Linked DNA regions of Arabidopsis thaliana. The protein of the gene in region 1 purifies or fractionates together with the protein of each later gene. This does not show direct contact. Each region holds a gene or a part of one and is shown in the gene's direction. Other genes may lie near its edges.

Evidence for each region.
Region 2: the proteins of AT1G12230 (region 1) and CSY5 fractionate together in Arabidopsis thaliana (co-fractionation; one large-scale study listed by BioGRID). This does not show direct contact.
Region 3: the proteins of AT1G12230 (region 1) and ATCS fractionate together in Arabidopsis thaliana (co-fractionation; one large-scale study listed by BioGRID). This does not show direct contact.

What each region holds. Positions count from the first base shown.
Region 1 is NC_003070.9:4,146,112-4,151,558, forward strand, and holds AT1G12230 (Aldolase superfamily protein), read left to right. Parts: upstream 1-1,850; 5' UTR 1,851-1,938; coding exon 1,939-1,992; intron 1,993-2,082; coding exon 2,083-2,224; intron 2,225-2,627; coding exon 2,628-2,706; intron 2,707-2,798; coding exon 2,799-2,864; intron 2,865-2,968; coding exon 2,969-3,044; intron 3,045-3,138; coding exon 3,139-3,222; intron 3,223-3,315; coding exon 3,316-3,420; intron 3,421-3,509; coding exon 3,510-3,590; intron 3,591-3,665; coding exon 3,666-3,730; intron 3,731-3,824; coding exon 3,825-3,894; intron 3,895-3,967; coding exon 3,968-4,143; intron 4,144-4,227; coding exon 4,228-4,366; intron 4,367-4,450; coding exon 4,451-4,597; 3' UTR 4,598-4,945; downstream 4,946-5,447. Other genes in the region: RPS5 (Disease resistance protein (CC-NBS-LRR class) family), read left to right, coding at 1-1,569.
Region 2 is NC_003074.8:22,191,123-22,196,995, forward strand, and holds CSY5 (citrate synthase 5), read left to right. Parts: upstream 1-1,607; 5' UTR 1,608-1,765; coding exon 1,766-1,816; intron 1,817-1,899; coding exon 1,900-1,953; intron 1,954-2,069; coding exon 2,070-2,111; intron 2,112-2,241; coding exon 2,242-2,307; intron 2,308-2,397; coding exon 2,398-2,463; intron 2,464-2,552; coding exon 2,553-2,666; intron 2,667-2,758; coding exon 2,759-2,822; intron 2,823-2,958; coding exon 2,959-3,041; intron 3,042-3,137; coding exon 3,138-3,190; intron 3,191-3,273; coding exon 3,274-3,351; intron 3,352-3,465; coding exon 3,466-3,594; intron 3,595-3,759; coding exon 3,760-3,802; intron 3,803-3,900; coding exon 3,901-3,987; intron 3,988-4,119; coding exon 4,120-4,221; intron 4,222-4,402; coding exon 4,403-4,510; intron 4,511-4,585; coding exon 4,586-4,636; intron 4,637-4,720; coding exon 4,721-4,794; intron 4,795-4,877; coding exon 4,878-4,929; intron 4,930-5,031; coding exon 5,032-5,124; 3' UTR 5,125-5,325; and 1 more. Other genes in the region: AT3G60090 (VQ motif-containing protein), read left to right, coding at 1-209.
Region 3 is NC_003071.7:18,314,508-18,321,337, forward strand, and holds ATCS (Citrate synthase family protein), read left to right. Parts: upstream 1-1,770; 5' UTR 1,771-1,885; intron 1,886-1,912; exon of another isoform or gene 1,913-2,075; intron 2,076-2,148; 5' UTR 2,149-2,165; coding exon 2,166-2,216; intron 2,217-2,314; coding exon 2,315-2,380; intron 2,381-2,526; coding exon 2,527-2,568; intron 2,569-2,749; coding exon 2,750-2,815; intron 2,816-2,907; coding exon 2,908-2,973; intron 2,974-3,095; coding exon 3,096-3,209; intron 3,210-3,317; coding exon 3,318-3,381; intron 3,382-3,558; coding exon 3,559-3,641; intron 3,642-3,769; coding exon 3,770-3,819; intron 3,820-3,898; coding exon 3,899-3,976; intron 3,977-4,120; coding exon 4,121-4,249; intron 4,250-4,383; coding exon 4,384-4,426; intron 4,427-4,517; coding exon 4,518-4,604; intron 4,605-4,771; coding exon 4,772-4,873; intron 4,874-5,221; coding exon 5,222-5,329; intron 5,330-5,420; coding exon 5,421-5,471; intron 5,472-5,618; coding exon 5,619-5,692; intron 5,693-5,769; and 5 more. Other genes in the region: AT2G44340 (VQ motif-containing protein), read left to right, coding at 1-338; AT2G44360 (ecotropic viral integration site protein), read right to left, coding at 6,348-6,587, 6,672-6,779.

The sequences.
Region 1 (5,447 bases):
GTACATGAATGGTGTCATGCCATTGACGTTTTAACATCATCTGCCATAGATTTTTCAGGTATGGAAGATGAAATTCTCCATGTTTTGAAGTATAGCTATGATAATTTAAATGGGGAGCTGATGAAATCCTGCTTCCTCTATTGCTCTCTGTTTCCTGAAGACTATCTTATTGATAAAGAGGGGTTGGTAGACTACTGGATAAGTGAGGGATTCATAAATGAAAAAGAAGGCAGAGAGAGGAATATTAACCAAGGTTATGAGATAATTGGTACCCTTGTCCGTGCATGTTTGTTGTTGGAGGAAGAAAGGAACAAATCAAACGTGAAAATGCATGATGTGGTTCGTGAGATGGCTCTATGGATATCATCCGATCTTGGGAAGCAAAAGGAGAAATGTATTGTGCGAGCTGGTGTTGGGTTACGTGAAGTACCAAAAGTCAAGGATTGGAACACTGTGAGAAAGATTTCTTTGATGAATAATGAGATTGAAGAGATATTTGACAGTCACGAGTGTGCTGCACTTACAACTCTATTTCTCCAAAAGAACGACGTGGTAAAGATCTCGGCTGAATTCTTTCGATGTATGCCTCATCTGGTGGTTTTAGATCTATCAGAGAATCAGAGTCTTAATGAATTACCAGAAGAAATATCAGAGCTGGCCTCTTTGAGATATTTCAACTTGTCATATACATGTATACATCAACTACCCGTTGGTTTATGGACATTGAAAAAGCTAATACATCTGAATCTCGAACACATGAGCAGTCTTGGGAGTATATTAGGGATATCAAATTTGTGGAATTTGAGGACATTGGGACTACGAGATTCCAGACTGTTGCTAGATATGAGTTTAGTGAAGGAGCTGCAGCTCTTAGAACATCTAGAAGTTATAACCCTAGATATATCATCAAGTTTGGTTGCAGAGCCATTGTTATGCTCTCAAAGGTTGGTGGAATGTATAAAAGAGGTAGATTTTAAGTACCTTAAGGAAGAATCAGTGAGAGTATTGACTTTGCCAACCATGGGTAATCTCCGCAAGCTCGGGATAAAAAGATGTGGAATGAGGGAGATAAAGATAGAGAGGACAACTTCATCATCGTCTCGGAACAAAAGTCCCACAACTCCATGCTTCTCAAACCTCTCCAGAGTCTTTATAGCTAAATGCCATGGTCTTAAGGATTTGACGTGGCTTTTGTTTGCTCCTAATCTTACTTTTCTTGAAGTTGGGTTCTCAAAGGAAGTAGAGGATATAATTAGTGAAGAGAAAGCTGAGGAGCATTCAGCTACGATTGTTCCTTTTAGGAAATTGGAGACACTACACCTGTTTGAATTACGCGGGCTCAAGAGAATCTATGCAAAGGCTCTGCATTTTCCGTGTCTGAAAGTTATCCACGTAGAAAAATGTGAAAAGCTGAGAAAGCTTCCATTGGATTCTAAAAGTGGGATCGCGGGTGAAGAACTTGTCATATATTATGGAGAGAGAGAATGGATAGAAAGGGTTGAATGGGAGGACCAAGCAACTCAACTCCGTTTCTTACCTTCATCCAGGTGGCGGTGGAGAGAAACATAATGAACTTCACTTTCTTCTACAAACTTTTGTTGTCATGGTCTAAAGACATTTGCCGGTGTGTAAATCTCTTCCTTGTCTCTTCTTGTTTGCATAACCGTTCTCATCGTTCTTTTGGTTAGTGATCATTGGATTTGTACTTATCTCTTTCTCTAAACGATGAGTGTTTGTTTCGGCTTCATAGAAACATTACACAGAGACTCATGAGAAAATGAATAAAAACTTGCAAGTTCCTAACCATTGTAATAAAATAATAATTAACTGTCTTATCTCGTTGACAGTTTTCGGATAAATTAGAAAAGGCGGGACCCACGTTAATTGGAAGATATCAACGGCTGGATCTGCTTACTCAGATCAACTTCAGCGAAAAAAATGCCACTCTCGTTGCAATCTCCGCCTTGTGCAACTCTCTCTGCTTCAATCCGAGTACTCTCCTCTTCGCTTACTTCTTTCAATCGCATGTATTTGTGCATTGTTTGTTTTTTATCTAATGGATGCGAGCTTTGAACTTCGCAGAAGGGACGATGGAAGACGCTCGCCGCCGGATTCTCCGTTACTCCTCTTCCCGCCGTTAACTTCAGTCTTCGGCGATCGATTCCTCGGATTCTTGCTTCCGCTAGTTCCTCCTCCTCTCCTGCGTCTTCGTCTCTCGAAGCTGGTATTTGTTTATATCTTTGATGATCGTGTTTCTCATTAATTAATAAATACGATTTCTGGAAAGACAAAACAAAAGTATGGGTTTTTGAAAGATTGACTACGATTCAAGCTTTCTTTTTATGTGGGTTTGTTTTTATACTGTCTTGAGTCACTTGTTAGGAAACTATGCTTGACAAAGTTGCTATTTTTGGTTTACCTTTCTTAGTTCAGGACCTTCTGGTTGCTTTAGTTCTTAGCTGAACAGTGTTGATTTATGGTTGAATTTGAAGAAACAAATTGTGTATTTGGTGTTTAACATTGTTCTTGGATGATATCGGTTTTCCTAAAGTTCTCAACTTTATTTCTTCTGGAATGCTTTTAGATGATCATTGAGTTGTTTGATGAAATTGTGTTTTTTTTTTCAGGTGAGAACAATGAGCTAAATGCTGTTTCAGCTTTTAGTGAGATTGTTCCTGATACTGTCGTTTTCGATGACTTTGAGAGGTATGATATATATCTCTACTTCATGAGACTTTAGTTACACTGGTATATCATAAAAATGGAGTCAGACATTCTTAACTTGAGATTGTACTGAGTTTTTCTCTGGATCGAGGATACAAGAAAGAAATTAGCTTAAGATGTAAAAACTCACTCCCTCACAAGTATAACTTCTAACCTTTAGTTATTGTGAAAACCAGATAGTATAACCTTTTGGTTTTCTAATTGTGCTGGATTGATACCTTTGTTGTATTTTACTGATCTGCAGGTTTCCGCCGACTGCAGCTACTGTTAGCTCTGCTCTTCTTCTGGGTATCTGTGGTCTACCTGATACCATTTTCCGCGTAAGCATTTCAAGAGTTTTGATTCTTAGATGATAGTATATGACATCTCTTGTTTTGGGCTCATTTAATTTTGACATTTTTACATCATGATTAGAATGCTGTGGACATGGCTTTGGCGGATTCTTCTTGTGCAGGGCTTGAAACCACAGAATCTCGACTCTCTTGCTTTTTCAATAAGGTTGATCTTCTTATCCCTTATCTGTTTTTCCACTTCCAGATCTTTGCTGCTTAAAAGCTTTTTTTGCCCTTATTACTGATGAGAAAAGTGCAGGCTATTGTCAACGTAGGTGGCGATCTTGTCAAACTCGTTCCAGGTCGAGTTTCTACTGAAGTGGATGCACGTCTTGCTTATGACACAAATGGCATTATCCGCAAGGTAGTTACTACACCATATATATAAGATAATTTGATTATATGTCTCCTGTATCTTCAAATCACTAACTTGTGATGTGATGATGTGTGTAGGTTCATGATCTGCTGAGACTATACAATGAAATCGATGTACCACACGACCGGCTCCTATTCAAAATCCCTGCAACTTGGCAAGTAAGATTATTTTCAGCAAATACCAAAGCTTTACCTTTTACTGGTCTCTTAGTATTGTGCTTATCCCTCTCATAGGGTATTGAAGCTGCAAGATTGTTGGAATCAGAGGGAATCCAAACGCATATGACCTTTGTTTACAGGTACCATAAAACATACCTTTTGACTCTTTTATTTTAGAATTGTCTATCCATCTGATTTGTTTACTTTATAATTTCGTTTTGCATTCATCAACAGCTTTGCACAAGCTGCAGCAGCTTCTCAAGCCGGTGCTTCTGTCATTCAGATTTTCGTCGGTCGCCTCAGGGTAACCATTTTTTAAACAGATGCTGCTAAGTGATTTCAGTGATATGCCAAAGTTAATATCTTAAAATCATTAGGATTGGGCGCGTAATCATTCGGGAGATACCGAGATTGAATCTGCTATTAAATCGGGAGAAGATCCTGGTTTGGCCTTGGTCAAAAGATCATATAACTACATTCACAAGTATGGTTACAAGTCCAAGCTGATGGCTGCTGCTGTCCGGAACAAACAAGACTTGTTCAGTCTTCTCGGGTAAACTCAAACTTCCAAATCATAGCTTCGACCATCAATGGATTCTGATCACATTCTAACTTTCAATGTTCTCTTCAATCTCAGGGTCGATTATGTCATTGCACCATTAAAGGTACTGCAATCTCTTAAAGATTCACCCGCCATTCCCGATGATGAAAAATACTCATTTGTTCGGAAACTTACTCCTGAAACTGCAACACATTACCACTTCACCAACAAAGAGGTTAGTTCTGAAGCTAACCAACACTCATTTGCTTCTGGTTTCACTAAACCAGTGTCTCACCCTGTTTGTTTGATTCTGGTTTAGCTGGTCAAATGGGACCAGCTAAGCTTGGCTTCATCTATGGGTCCTGCATCAGTGGAGCTTTTATCAGCCGGTGTTGAAGGTTATGCGAACCAAGCGAAACGTGTTGAAGAGCTTTTCGGGAAGATTTGGCCACCTCCTAATGTCTAAATACACAGCTTTTCTCTTCATCAATAAGGATCTGTATCAATAAGAGAACTAAGTGTCCATGTTACTTGAACACTACCCTGTTTATCTTCCTGCCCTCTTTATCTTTTTCGTGGCTTGTTGTTCATCATGTCTGAGACTTGGGCTACAAGATAAGAGACTTTAGTTTTAAGACTAAAAGTCTAAAACCAAATCCTTTTCATGTTGTTTCGTCTGAACTTCGGTCTTTTTTTCTCTGTAATTGACTTAGTCGGTTCTCAGATCTCTGAGTCATGATTGTACCGATAAACCAAAATTGAACCGATTGTTTTTGTAAAACCAATCGGGTTCTATTAAAGTTCAAACTAAACTAAAAATTTAACTATGGACTGAAAATAAATAAAAAAATTCTTAGACAAAAAAAAGTTGGACATAGGCCAAACACTGTTTGTTTGACAAATTCTAAGATAAATGATAAAAAGATGAGTTTTTTTAGGGCGAGAAAGACGGTTTAAATCCAAAAAAAAAATTGGGAATTTATGTGTACCAAATGATAAATATCATGAAGACAATGAAGAGGATCAACATAAACTTATCAATCTCAGTCAGATGCATTATCTGATGTCTAGTCACTTCTCTATCCACCTTCTTTAATGTCATTTAGTAATTTTCACACAAGCAGAAACGTACCATGTTATAAATCTTATCTTCTAATGTTTACAAATTCGTACGTCTTACATTTAGTTGTTGACAAAAAAAAAAGATAATTGAAATTTAGTTCAATCATTTTTTTCCTGTGTGATTGCGTTTTTCCTTTGACGACATGTTGTTTGTGATTAATTATTGTGGGTTCATACCAATAATTATGAAATAC
Region 2 (5,873 bases), on another chromosome or scaffold:
ATTTTCCTGCGCCACCGGGTTTGCCTCAAGATTCCGGCCAAGAACATACGGCTGAACTGGACAACAGAATAATAGGGAGCCACGTGGTGAAGGAAGAATGGGGATCAAGTTCAAACACAAATACTTACTTTGATTTTGACGGTTTGATCGATCTTGATGAAGACGACAACATATTCTCAAGTCGATGGTTTGATCTTCAACAACAATAATTAGTTTGGTCACACCTTACCCTAATATGTAGGGTTTCTACTAATCGTAAGTCCTGTTGGTTTTGATGATGATTTGATCATTTATTCGATATGGAGCATAACAAGACATGGGTCAAGACAAGACCAAGGTTGAGACGATGATCATCTATATAGGTAGGAACATACATAACTTGTATATATGTACAAATGTTTGGATTTTTTGGGCTTGGGTGCCCTTTGATTTAATTTGTTAGACTGACTTAATTTACCAAGAAAGAGTGTAGTGATGAGTTTGTAGACTGATTTTGCCAAGAAAAAGTAAGTTTGTGTTTTGATCTCCGATCATGTGAAAACTCTACTTAAAAATGGTGTAACGTTGTACTCACGCGTGCGTGTGCAAGTTTTATATATAGAAAAGCGAGAATGATATTGTGATTGAATTTTTTAGATTGTTCATTTTTTTTCGTCAAATTATTTTGTTTGTTAATTCATATATAAGTCATGTTACTTACAACAAATTGTTTGATAAAACAAAAATGAATTCCATTAAACTGAATTAACGAAATACTATAATGATAAATGATTCTTACATGACTCTAAAAGAGTTTCGATTTGAATATATAAATGAATAAAGTTCTGTTTTATTGGCGATGTTCTTGATATATACCTTCAAAACTTTATGGCTAAATTACATTTTAACTTCTCAAAACGTTAGATTATGAAAGGTGGACTCACATTTCATAAACATTAAAATGATATGGTAATATGATTATAATGAGTTGTAATGGATATATGTCATATTTTTCCAATCTCATTCATTGAAATATCAGTTTATTTTTTGGATGACATAACGATCAATAGTGTCATATAATATGATATCCAATGTTTTAATATTAACTAGCTATAGCTATATCCATCATTGTTAATAGTTGTGTTACATCATTAAATAGTATTTCAAAAGAATATAAAAATTTCTGATAACTAATGGAGAATGAAGAATATCAAACCGCCCATTCGACCAAGAAATTATAATAACGAAGTTTATAACTTTTTTTTTCAATTGTGAAATGTCATTTTTACTTTATTTATTTCCAACAAAATAAAATTATGTTTTATCTAAACCCTTGGACTTTACCAAGAAGCTACTTTTTTATTTAGCAACAGCAAAAGCTACATACCATTTGTTCTTTATTTATTAATGACCGTTTTTTTAGGCATTAGAATCGTTACGGCTGCTTCGAATCTTGCGTCTCACGGACCGACGGAACTAACCAATCTCAACCGAACCCGAACATAACCTGTTCGTTTGGTTTTCTAAATGGTAATCAATTGGTTCATTATACCGGTTTGGTAAGAAGAATCCGTGTGTTTGGTTTACATATGTTGTAATTTGACGCTTGTTCATCACGTTGCAGATATATCTCAACATCTCTCAATTTTTCTCTCTACGTTGAAGAAACTTTCGAATTTCCCGTTAGTTCTTCTCCACGCTTTCTCTTTCCCTTTATCTCTTATCTGGTTAAGCCAATCTTGATTGTTTGGATTCGTAACCGATCAGTGTTGTGAGGTTTGAAAGAATGGTGTTTTTTCGCAGCGTATCAGCCATTTCAAGACTACGGTCTCGAGCAGTGAGTAGATTTAGCTTTCATCCTTTTTGTGTTTTGTTTGATGTGATACAATTTGATGATCAGATCTAATATAAGAAGCACAGGTGCAACAATCCTCACTTAGTAACTCCGTCAGATGGCTCCACTCTTCTGAATTGGTACTTTCTTAGGTTTTCATGTTCTCGTGATCATGCGGTTCAGTTTGAGAACCAAAAATTTGGAATTTTACCTTCTAGGTTTTGTGTTGATGTTGCTTAAAATGATGGTAATGCAGGACTTGAAGTCGCAGATGCAAGAGATCATTCCAGAACAACAGGTTTAGTTTCTACTTCGTTGTGATTGAGATTGTTTCTAATTTTAGGGCAGATTTCATGTAGAGATCAAGCTCTTCTCTCTGTTTTAGTTGATGTCATTTCTCATACACAAACACAACTTTCAACTTTCAGGACCGTTTGAAGAAACTGAAATCAGAACAAGGAAAGGTTCCAGTGGGGAACATCACCGTTGATATGGTACGGATTCTAATGATATTTGTGATTACACAAAGGCTTTATCTTTTAAACATACTCGTATATATAGTTTTACATGTGGTATTTGTGAAGGTACTTGGTGGAATGAGAGGGATGACTGGATTACTCTGGGAAACCTCATTGCTTGATGCAGATGAGGTATGGTTATAATTTTGATCACATAGATAATTTTCAGGTCAGATCTTGAATTAGAATTATATAACATATGATATTATCTTTTGTATCAGGGAATACGGTTTAGAGGCATGTCGATTCCTGAATGTCAGAAAATATTACCTTCAGCTGAGTCTGGAGAAGAGCCCTTGCCTGAGAGTCTTCTGTGGCTTCTATTAACTGGAAAGGTGTGATAATCTTAAAACATTTTATACATACAATAAGTTTCAACTTTATATATGAATGATCTAAAGTATAGTTTTCCCTCCTTTCGGTATAGGTGCCAACTAAAGAGCAAGCTAATGCTTTGTCAACAGAGTTGGCTCATCGTGCGGCTGTGCCAGGTTTGTAGTTCACCTCTAGGCTCTGTTTGTTTATGACCTCAGTTTCATGACTCATCAAAACTTAGCAAAATACAAGCTGATGATAATTATAAACTGGATATTATGATGTTGCAAATATAACAACTCTCCATTGCAGATTATATATACAAAGCTATAGATGCTTTGCCTTCAACAGCTCATCCAATGACTCAATTTGCTAGTGGTGTTATGGCCCTTCAGGTGGATTGCTCTGTTATGTACTATTTTTTTTTTCTATGCATTCTCTTAGAATTTGTTTATTTTCAGGAGCATCTTATCTTGTTGATTGTTATTCAGGTTCAAAGTGAGTTTCAAAAGGCGTATGAGCAGGGTGATATTTCTAAGTCAAAGTATAAACTTTCAATAGTTCTATACTTTGTTTCTTGATTGGCTTATAGTAGTAGGCATCATAGAAACTGAGGTTTCTTGTCAGGTACTGGGAACCAACCTTCGAAGATGCCCTAAACTTGATTGCTCGTGTTCCTGTTGTAGCTTCATACGTTTATCGGAGGTTAAATTTTAGGATCTTTTCCAATGCTTTTAGCTTCCTGGACTAGTTAATTTTCTTAGATTTTCCTTTCTTCAGAGTGTTATTTTTCAATGTCCATTCTAATTCACATTGCAGGATGTACAAGGATGGTAGCATCATTCCATTAGATGATTCTTTGGATTATGGTGCAAATTTTTCACACATGCTGGGATTTGATAGTCCTCAGATGAAAGAGCTCATGAGGCTTTATGTCACTATCCACAGGTTAGTCCTGGTTCTCTTCGTTTCAACATGTCTCATTAATTAGAATACATAAGCTAAAGTTTTCTTGTATATAATGATGATCTTCCTTTATTTTACCAACTCTTACCAAATTTCTATAGCATGATCAAGGTTTTTTTTTCCCTTGTCTACTGGTTTCTGTTTTAGTGATCATGAAGGTGGAAATGTTAGTGCTCACGCTGGTCACCTGGTATGTATTTGCCACATGATCTTGATGCATGATAATGTTTTGAACTTATAGACATTTCTGATGGTTCTGTTTTTGGCTAATGATGTTTCTTCACTTAGGTTGGGAGTGCACTTTCAGATCCATATCTTTCATTTGCTGCTGCATTGAATGGTTTAGCTGGGCCACTCCATGGTTTGGCTAATCAGGTATTTATATCCTTAATGAGTCTTATATTGTTCGAATCTACAAGTGTATATAACTTGAACTCTAAGATTGACTCTTAATTATAAGCTTAAACTTGGAATCTTACTCTGTTTTTTTTCGTTGTCTTGTTGTAGGAAGTTTTGCTGTGGATCAAATTAGTTGTTGAGGAATGTGGAGAAAGTATATCAAAGGAACAGCTAAAAGATTATGTCTGGAAAACGTTAAACAGTGGCAAGGTTGACAAAATTATGCTCTGCTTTGCCTTTTGAAACTATCCATATGTATTGCATGCTAATCATGACAGGCCATAACTTGAATTATTGTATAAATAATGAATAAAAGCTTCGGATTATGTTTTGATTATGGGGTTTGCCTGTGAATGTTGTCAGGAAACTTAAATAAACATTTGTCTTGCAGGTTGTTCCAGGATATGGCCATGGTGTTTTGCGTAAAACGGATCCAAGATATATATGCCAAAGAGAGTTTGCCTTGAAGCATCTACCTGATGATCCTCTTTTTCAGCTGGTAACTTTTTTTCCCCCTCAAATCTTTGGTCATGCTTTAAAATTTTACTGGCTCACAAATTATGCAAGTCTATAGGTCTCAAAACTTTATGAAGTGGTGCCTCCTATTCTAACCGAGCTGGGAAAGGTACTACTTATACTCATTCATTTCATGTGCTACCAGATTTTCTGATTTTCTCTGGTTTTATGAATCTTGAAATTGCTGTATCAGGTCAAGAACCCGTGGCCTAACGTTGATGCTCATAGCGGAGTGCTTCTGAACTACTATGGTCTAACCGAAGCAAGGTAGGAACTACTTGTGTATCGAGGCTTTGACCTTGTTTTGCTGAATCTTGGTTATTATAGAGTGACATTCCTTTCAAATATAGATACTACACGGTGCTTTTTGGCGTCTCAAGAAGTCTTGGAATCTGCTCGCAGGTACATACATACATTCATGCCATCGACAATTCGATTTTAGTACGTATCGCCATATCCTTCACAATAAAGTCAGACTAATCTTTTATTCCTTTTCTGTTTCAGCTGATATGGGACAGGGCACTTGGACTGCCACTTGAGAGACCAAAGAGTGTAAACATGGACTGGCTCGATAACTTCACGCGCTTGAACCGCTAAGTTAATCCCTGACTGATGTTGGTCAAGGTTCTCTCTTTTATCACTTCAGCCTTCTCTTCCATTTGATTGGGTAGCTTTTAGAGATAAAAAAAAAACGATTTTTCGTCGAAATTTTGTTCTACAGAGTTTTCATTTTGGTTCTTCTGCAAAAACAATAAAGTCAAACAAGTAAAGAAACAGTCTTTCTCAGATTGAGACACCATATTATTGTTCCTCAACTTTGATAGACAAATGATGACCATTGATATGTATTGATTAGTCTTTGGTGAATTATCGCATAATAAACAATACTCATGCAACCAGTCCCGCTCAAACAGAGTGTTTGAAGTGAACAGAAGCAGAGTCAAGAAATTCAAAGCCTCGGGATCAAACAGAAGCTTCCTCCTATCTTAAGAAGCTCCCTACGAAGCTTTATGATGATTCTACAAAACACATTTGCTATCTTCAGTGAACAGTAAGATGCAACGTGTTCTCTTCTAAACCTTCAGATATTTGGCTAAGTATAAGACTCTTCGTAATCACAAAAAGCCAGAAATGCGAAATTGATTTTGAGTCTTCTTCCTCACAAGTTTTCTCTAACTTTCAGAGGAGTCGCTGGATCCTGTTACCGAGAATTATTAGAAACCGAGAGCAGAGGTTTCTAGCTAGGACAGGAAATATATTATTAGAACATATCCTAGTCTTCCTTGTCATGGCCAGTCCAGTGGTGCAAGAGAAACATACAATTCCAACTCAAGTATGTGATGGAC
Region 3 (6,830 bases), on another chromosome or scaffold:
GAATTACGACTCCCCAAGAACCGGTTTGCGATGATCATCAGCCGGTCAACAGGCTTTCGGGTTTCACCGGTTTACTAGCAAACGGAGGAAACCACCAGGTGAAAGAAGAGTGGGGATCAGGTGATCAGAGTACTTCGAACACAAACACGTACTTTGATCTAGAAGGTTTAATTCAAGATGTCGGAGAAGATTACTTCTCTTCGTTTCCCATGAGATCCTCTTCTTCTTCACAAGTCGAAGGTTTCATCTTCAACAACAACAACAACAACAACAACAACAACAACAACAACAACAACAACAACACCAACTTCGATACAAAGGCTCATAATTCGTCTTAATTAATAACAGATTAATTTCTAGGGTTTTCAATCTTATTGATTCTGCAAATCGCATTTGGTGAGATGAGATCTAATCGCAACGATAAGGTCATATTTTGTGGGAGAAAAAAGGCATAGAAGTTGTATATAGATATAACAAATGGGTATGATGAGAGACATAAACTTTTGGCGGGACTGACTTTGCCAAGGTTGAGAGTTGTGATGAAGAGAGTTTAATCTACGTGCAGCCCTTCTAGGAGAAGTGGCTGTATCTAATTAAGATGTGGTCGGTCAAAAAAGCCCTAGTTTTATTATGTAACTTCATTGATGTGCTATTATTGGATGTGTATTAATTCTTTGGTGTGCAGATAAATGTGATGATTGCTGTACTTTAATTTTGGGGAAAAAGTTTGTATGGAATTAGAACAAGGATCGACTTGTTTTCGATATAGATACTCTGATTGATTGTGTATATTGAATATCGATACTTACATAACGGTTATTCGGTTAAAGTACAGTTACACTAATTAAATTAAACTGTAAGTTAACAAGAATATTCTGGCTCAAGCTAAATTATTTTTTTTATTATTATTGTTTACTAATCTTTTGTTACAAATGTTGAAAATGATATTTATTATACATGTAGTACTTCAACTAAAATAAATAACGTGTTTTCATATTTGATGTACGTGTATAATATATCATTTTCAACAGTGAGTAATATTAACCCTTTTATCAAAATAAAGTAAAACAAAATGATATAACCTATCAACAAAATGCAAAGAAAATTGATCCGAACCGAATATAGCCGTAACGGTACACCAAAATTGTTTTGAGATTTTAGTGTCCGTTGACCTTTTCATATAAAGCCAAATTATTCGGTCTGGTTTCCAAAAGAACGAAAAGGTATATGATTACGGTTTACTCCCTTGCTTCTGTGTTTTGGTTTAGTTTGGTTTACCTTCTCAAAGTTCTCGAACGTCAACATTTATTTTATCTTATTTTGTAAGGTTCTGCACATGTTATACTTATTAATTAGTCTACTTTTTCAGGCATTGGGATTATTTGTTTTAGTCTAAATCGGTTTTGGTTGCATAATATTGGATGAAAACATTGTAAAGGACAATTTCAAACCTGACTTTTCTAGATTTGGAAACGTTCCGGCTGCTTGAAAAGCTCACATAAATATTAGTATGATTTCTTAAACCAAAAATAAATGATGATTATCAACAATACCGTAAATAAGGCAAAGGAAATAAATGATGATTATCAACAATTGCCGAAAATAACCACACCGGTACACCGAAATTGTTTTTGAGATTCATAAAACCGGAATAATACGCCTAAAGGTTATTTTCTCCAATACCGGTTTAGTTTGGTTTGCCTTCTCAAAGTACTCGAAGGTCAAAATTGGAATTTAGTAATAAACCTGCTCCAGCTATATACAAATGTCATTTGCTCACCTTTCGCCGATTGATTTTGTACATCACACGCAGACGCAGCTTTTAGTATTTTTTTCAACAATCGCTTTTTTTTTTCTCGATCTCCGTGAAGCTCTCGAATCTCTGGTATGTTTCTTCGCTTCTTCATAGTGTTTCTCATTTCCTTTTGGTCTTCCATAATTTTCGGAGAATCTAGTCCTGTTTTTCTCTTCTTCTGGAATCTGAATTCGCCGGTGAATTCCGCTGATCGAATCTCTGAGTTTTGTTGAATTATTTGATTCGGCGATAAAACTTTTTTTGTTTGTTTCTGATTTTGGTGAGTGTTGATTGCTTGAGTTTTTTCACGGATCGATTTGTTTTGAGAATTGGGTGGATACTGTCTGTCACAGGTTTTGAGTTTTGGAGAATGGTGTTTTTCCGCAGCGTATCGGCCTTTACTAGGCTGAGGTCTCGCGTCGTAAGTATTTGAAAATTTTGTTTCCAGTTTTGTGTTTGTTCTCGTTTGATCTCGCTGGTTCATGCTAATCGATTGATTGGTGATCGAATCTATGTAAGCAGGGCCAACAATCTTCACTCAGCAATTCTGTCAGATGGATTCAGATGCAGAGCTCTACCGACCTGGTAAATCATCTCCGTTGCTTCGTACTTTCGTGTGTGATCGTGATCATGTAGTTTTCATGATCATGATCATATGTAAGTTTAATATTGGTTTGGGATCTGCTGCTTGTGGGGTCTTTGTTCATTTTGTTTAAATGGTGGCAATGCAGGACCTGAAGTCGCAGCTGCAAGAGTTAATTCCGGAACAGCAGGTTAGATTAGACTCTGTTTGCTTTAAATGAAAATTTGTGTTGTTGACTTTTTTTTTTCATTGAATGTGTGTATTATTTGTTATGTTAGCTGAGATTGTTAAGTTAAGAAGGCAGGCTAGTTGTAGTGAATCTCTTTGCTTTTCTAGTTTCCTCTTTTCTCACAAGAATTTTCCAATTTCAGGACCGTCTGAAGAAACTGAAGTCAGAACATGGGAAGGTCCAACTGGGAAACATCACTGTTGATATGGTAGAAACAATCATGATTTTCACGTTTTTGGTTTGTTTATATGATTTTCACCTTCCATTGCATAACTCATCATAATCCCCTTTGAAATAAAGGTTATTGGTGGAATGAGAGGGATGACTGGATTGCTTTGGGAAACCTCATTGCTTGACCCGGAAGAGGTACTGTATAACTCTCTGTATATAGTTACAATAGCTTGGTTAGATCCTAGATATAGAATATATCAAATGCTCCTCCTTCCTGTTCTAAGGCTGTTGATGCAATTATCTTATCATTATTTCAGGGTATTCGCTTTAGGGGATTGTCGATTCCTGAGTGCCAGAAAGTATTACCTACTGCCCAGTCTGGAGCTGAACCATTACCGGAGGGTCTTTTGTGGCTTCTCTTAACTGGAAAGGTGTGGCTCTTCTGTACATTATTATAAGTTGGTTCTGGATATGTCCAGTCGATTAGTTTTCCTCAATAGATTATCTTATGATATCCTTTTTTACCCTTTTTCGTATAGGTACCTAGCAAAGAGCAAGTTGAAGCACTGTCGAAAGACTTGGCGAACCGTGCTGCTGTGCCAGGTTTGGATATTACCTTTTTCGCTCTGGCTGTTGCAAATAAAGGAGTCTGTTTATTGGCTCATTCAAACTTGTTTGACATCAATGCTTACAAGAAATTGCTTAACAGAAATGAAATAAATTTGTGGGTTTTGTGTTATACTTTCATTCATTCTTAACTTGTATCCAATTTTTATACAGATTATGTGTACAATGCCATCGATGCTCTGCCTTCCACAGCTCATCCAATGACTCAATTTGCTAGCGGTGTTATGGCCCTCCAGGTGTGGTTCTCTAAACTCGTATTGTTGTTTCTGTTCTTCTTGTGATAAGCGTTGGAAACTTATTGTTTTTTTTGGCTATAAGTAAACAATTTTCAGCAGAATGATAATTTTCTTTACCTAATATCCAGGTGCAAAGTGAGTTTCAAAAGGCATATGAGAATGGAATTCATAAGTCAAAGTATGCTTTTGGGGTTCTGATTTAGTTCATGATAGCGTTTCATATTAGCTGGCATCATAACAAAGATTTTTTCTTCCAGGTTCTGGGAGCCAACATATGAGGATTGCCTCAACCTGATTGCTCGTGTTCCTGTTGTAGCTGCATATGTTTATCGAAGGTTAGTGAAGACTCTTTTTGTACTCTTTTTCATGTTTCTTGTAGCTTCTGGATTTTCGGCAATGATTTTTTTTTTATTGGAAAATTTGCCATCTCTTGTTTTTGCTTTGTATTGACTGTTGACCTTTTCCATGCATCATTGCAGGATGTATAAGAATGGTGATTCCATTCCCTCAGATAAATCTTTGGATTATGGTGCAAATTTTTCCCACATGTTGGGATTTGATGATGAAAAGGTGAAAGAGCTCATGAGGCTTTACATCACCATCCACAGGTCTGTATTAATTTTCGTCACCCATGCATGTCTCCTTAAATAAGCTTAATTATCTTGTAAATTTGTTTGTTCTTTTTAAGACTTTAAATAGACCTTTGTATAACATTTTGCTTTTCTACTATTTTTTGCTCTAGTGATCATGAAGGTGGAAATGTTAGTGCTCACACTGGTCACCTGGTATGTATATACTCTCCATGTGTCAATTTTAAAGGATTGACCTACCTGAAGTTTCTAATGGTTCTTTTGCTAAAAATTCTTGTTCATGTAGGTTGGTAGTGCACTTTCAGACCCATATCTGTCATTTGCAGCTGCATTAAATGGTTTAGCTGGGCCACTCCATGGTTTGGCTAATCAGGTATCCTCCCTTGTCTATATCTTGAATAAGTCTTAAATCTTCAATCTACAATAGAGCTTCGTAAGTGGCTTTTTGTATTTTATCTAGGTAGGTTGTGATAGTTTGATGATACAACCATAAATTGGAGAAAACAAATTCTTAGTCTTTTTTTATTATTGTTTCAACAGGAAGTTTTGCTTTGGATCAAATCAGTCGTAGAGGAATGTGGAGAAGATATATCAAAAGAACAGTTGAAAGAATATGTTTGGAAAACATTAAACAGTGGCAAGGTAAAAACAGGAAATTCCTCTGCCTTGACATTCTTTACTTTCTGGTCTTGTACCTGAATCCCACTTTTGAAGCCAGCCAACAAGACTGATGGAGCATGCGAAAATGAATTAACATCTTGTCTACTAGTCATCATAATAGGCTAATATTTCAATTTATTGTGTGATACTGTTATGGGTCCTCTTATTTACGACCTCATAGTTTGGTCAGTTGCTCTAACTGCTCCTAGTAAGTAATACTGCCATAAGAGCTTTGGATCCTGTTTTTCCCTATCCTAGTTTACCTTGTGGATGTAATGTTACAAGGATAGTCTAATGATGATCTATTGACGAGTCTTGTTTTGTCTCTAGGTTATTCCGGGATATGGTCACGGTGTTCTGCGCAATACTGATCCAAGATATGTATGCCAAAGAGAATTTGCCTTGAAGCATCTACCTGACGACCCTCTTTTCCAGCTGGTACTTTTTTTCTTTCTCTTTTCTCTTTTCTGTTCGGTTCTCAAAATTCTATCAATGTTCAGTAGCTAACAAAATCCTTCCAACTCTGTAGGTGTCAAAGCTTTATGAAGTTGTGCCTCCTGTTCTCACTGAGCTTGGAAAGGTAGTATCTCTATCCTTCGTTTACCATGGTGATCCTTCAATATTCCACCAACAACTCCACAACACCTTACCTACATGCTAGGGGCTTATGAATCTCTTGCGAATCAATTTTTTATTTACTTGCGAATCCGATGATGGCTTGTTACAGGTGAAGAACCCGTGGCCAAATGTTGATGCTCACAGTGGGGTCTTGCTGAACCACTATGGTCTAACCGAAGCAAGGTAAGAAGTAGACACCTCCTTCAAGTATCATTGAGCCTTAGGATAGCACTCAAATATAATATCTGTGCGTTTTATAGGTACTACACCGTGCTCTTTGGTGTTTCAAGGAGTCTTGGCATCTGCTCTCAGGTAACATATATATATTTACACATTACGCCTTTGTTACTACATAACATTTAAAACAGAACTCATATGCTCTCCATTCTCATTTGTGTTTAATTCACAGCTTATATGGGACCGAGCTCTTGGACTTGCACTTGAGAGGCCAAAGAGTGTTACCATGGACTGGCTTGAAGCCCATTGTAAGAAAGCTTCATCTGCTTAAGTCACCACCGAGTCCTGAGTTGTCGCACTCTCTCGTGTTTCAACAAAAGTCATTCTCTTCCACACTGGATAGCTTTTTTTGTTTTTACCTTCTATTGACAGAAGAAACATTTGTTCATGTAGAAATTGTTCCTGAGAAACACATGCTTGGTGCAAATTTGCATTTCCGGGAAACTCGTGATAATAAATAAACAGTTGTATTCAGTTTGCGTAAAAATCAAACATCAATATCACTCATGAATTAAAGCTTATCTTGGTTTTGATATACATAAAAGAAACAAGACTGCAAAATAGAAAACTTCGACATGAGTTTATCAAAAAGAAAATGGGATTAAGAGCTGCTGGTATTGTCGGTAGTAGTCTCCTTGTTAGAAAGGTCATCATCATCAGCAAGAGAGGCTGTGAAGTTGAGTCTCTCTTCGGCGCCGGCAGTGATAACCGGCATCCAAACATCAGCTGTGCCGCTAAGAAGCGTCTGAACCTGTGGATCAGAAGCTATAGCTGATGATATCATCTCATCCACATCATCTAACTTTGCTGATAACTTGTCCAATTCCTTAGCTATCTCCACCTGAAAACACAAACAATCACACACAAAGCCTCAGATTTACATTACAATGTGTACCAGATATATGAGTGAACACAGGATACAGACCTCATTGAGGTGTTGAGCAGACTTTGATGGCACTTTAGTGACTTCTAAACCAAGAGCTTCAATCTTAGAACGTAGCTCAACCTCTTCTGTATTTGTCAATGATTCTACCTAAGAAACAAAAATCATCAGTAGGCAACAAAATCATCTGTATTTGTCAAT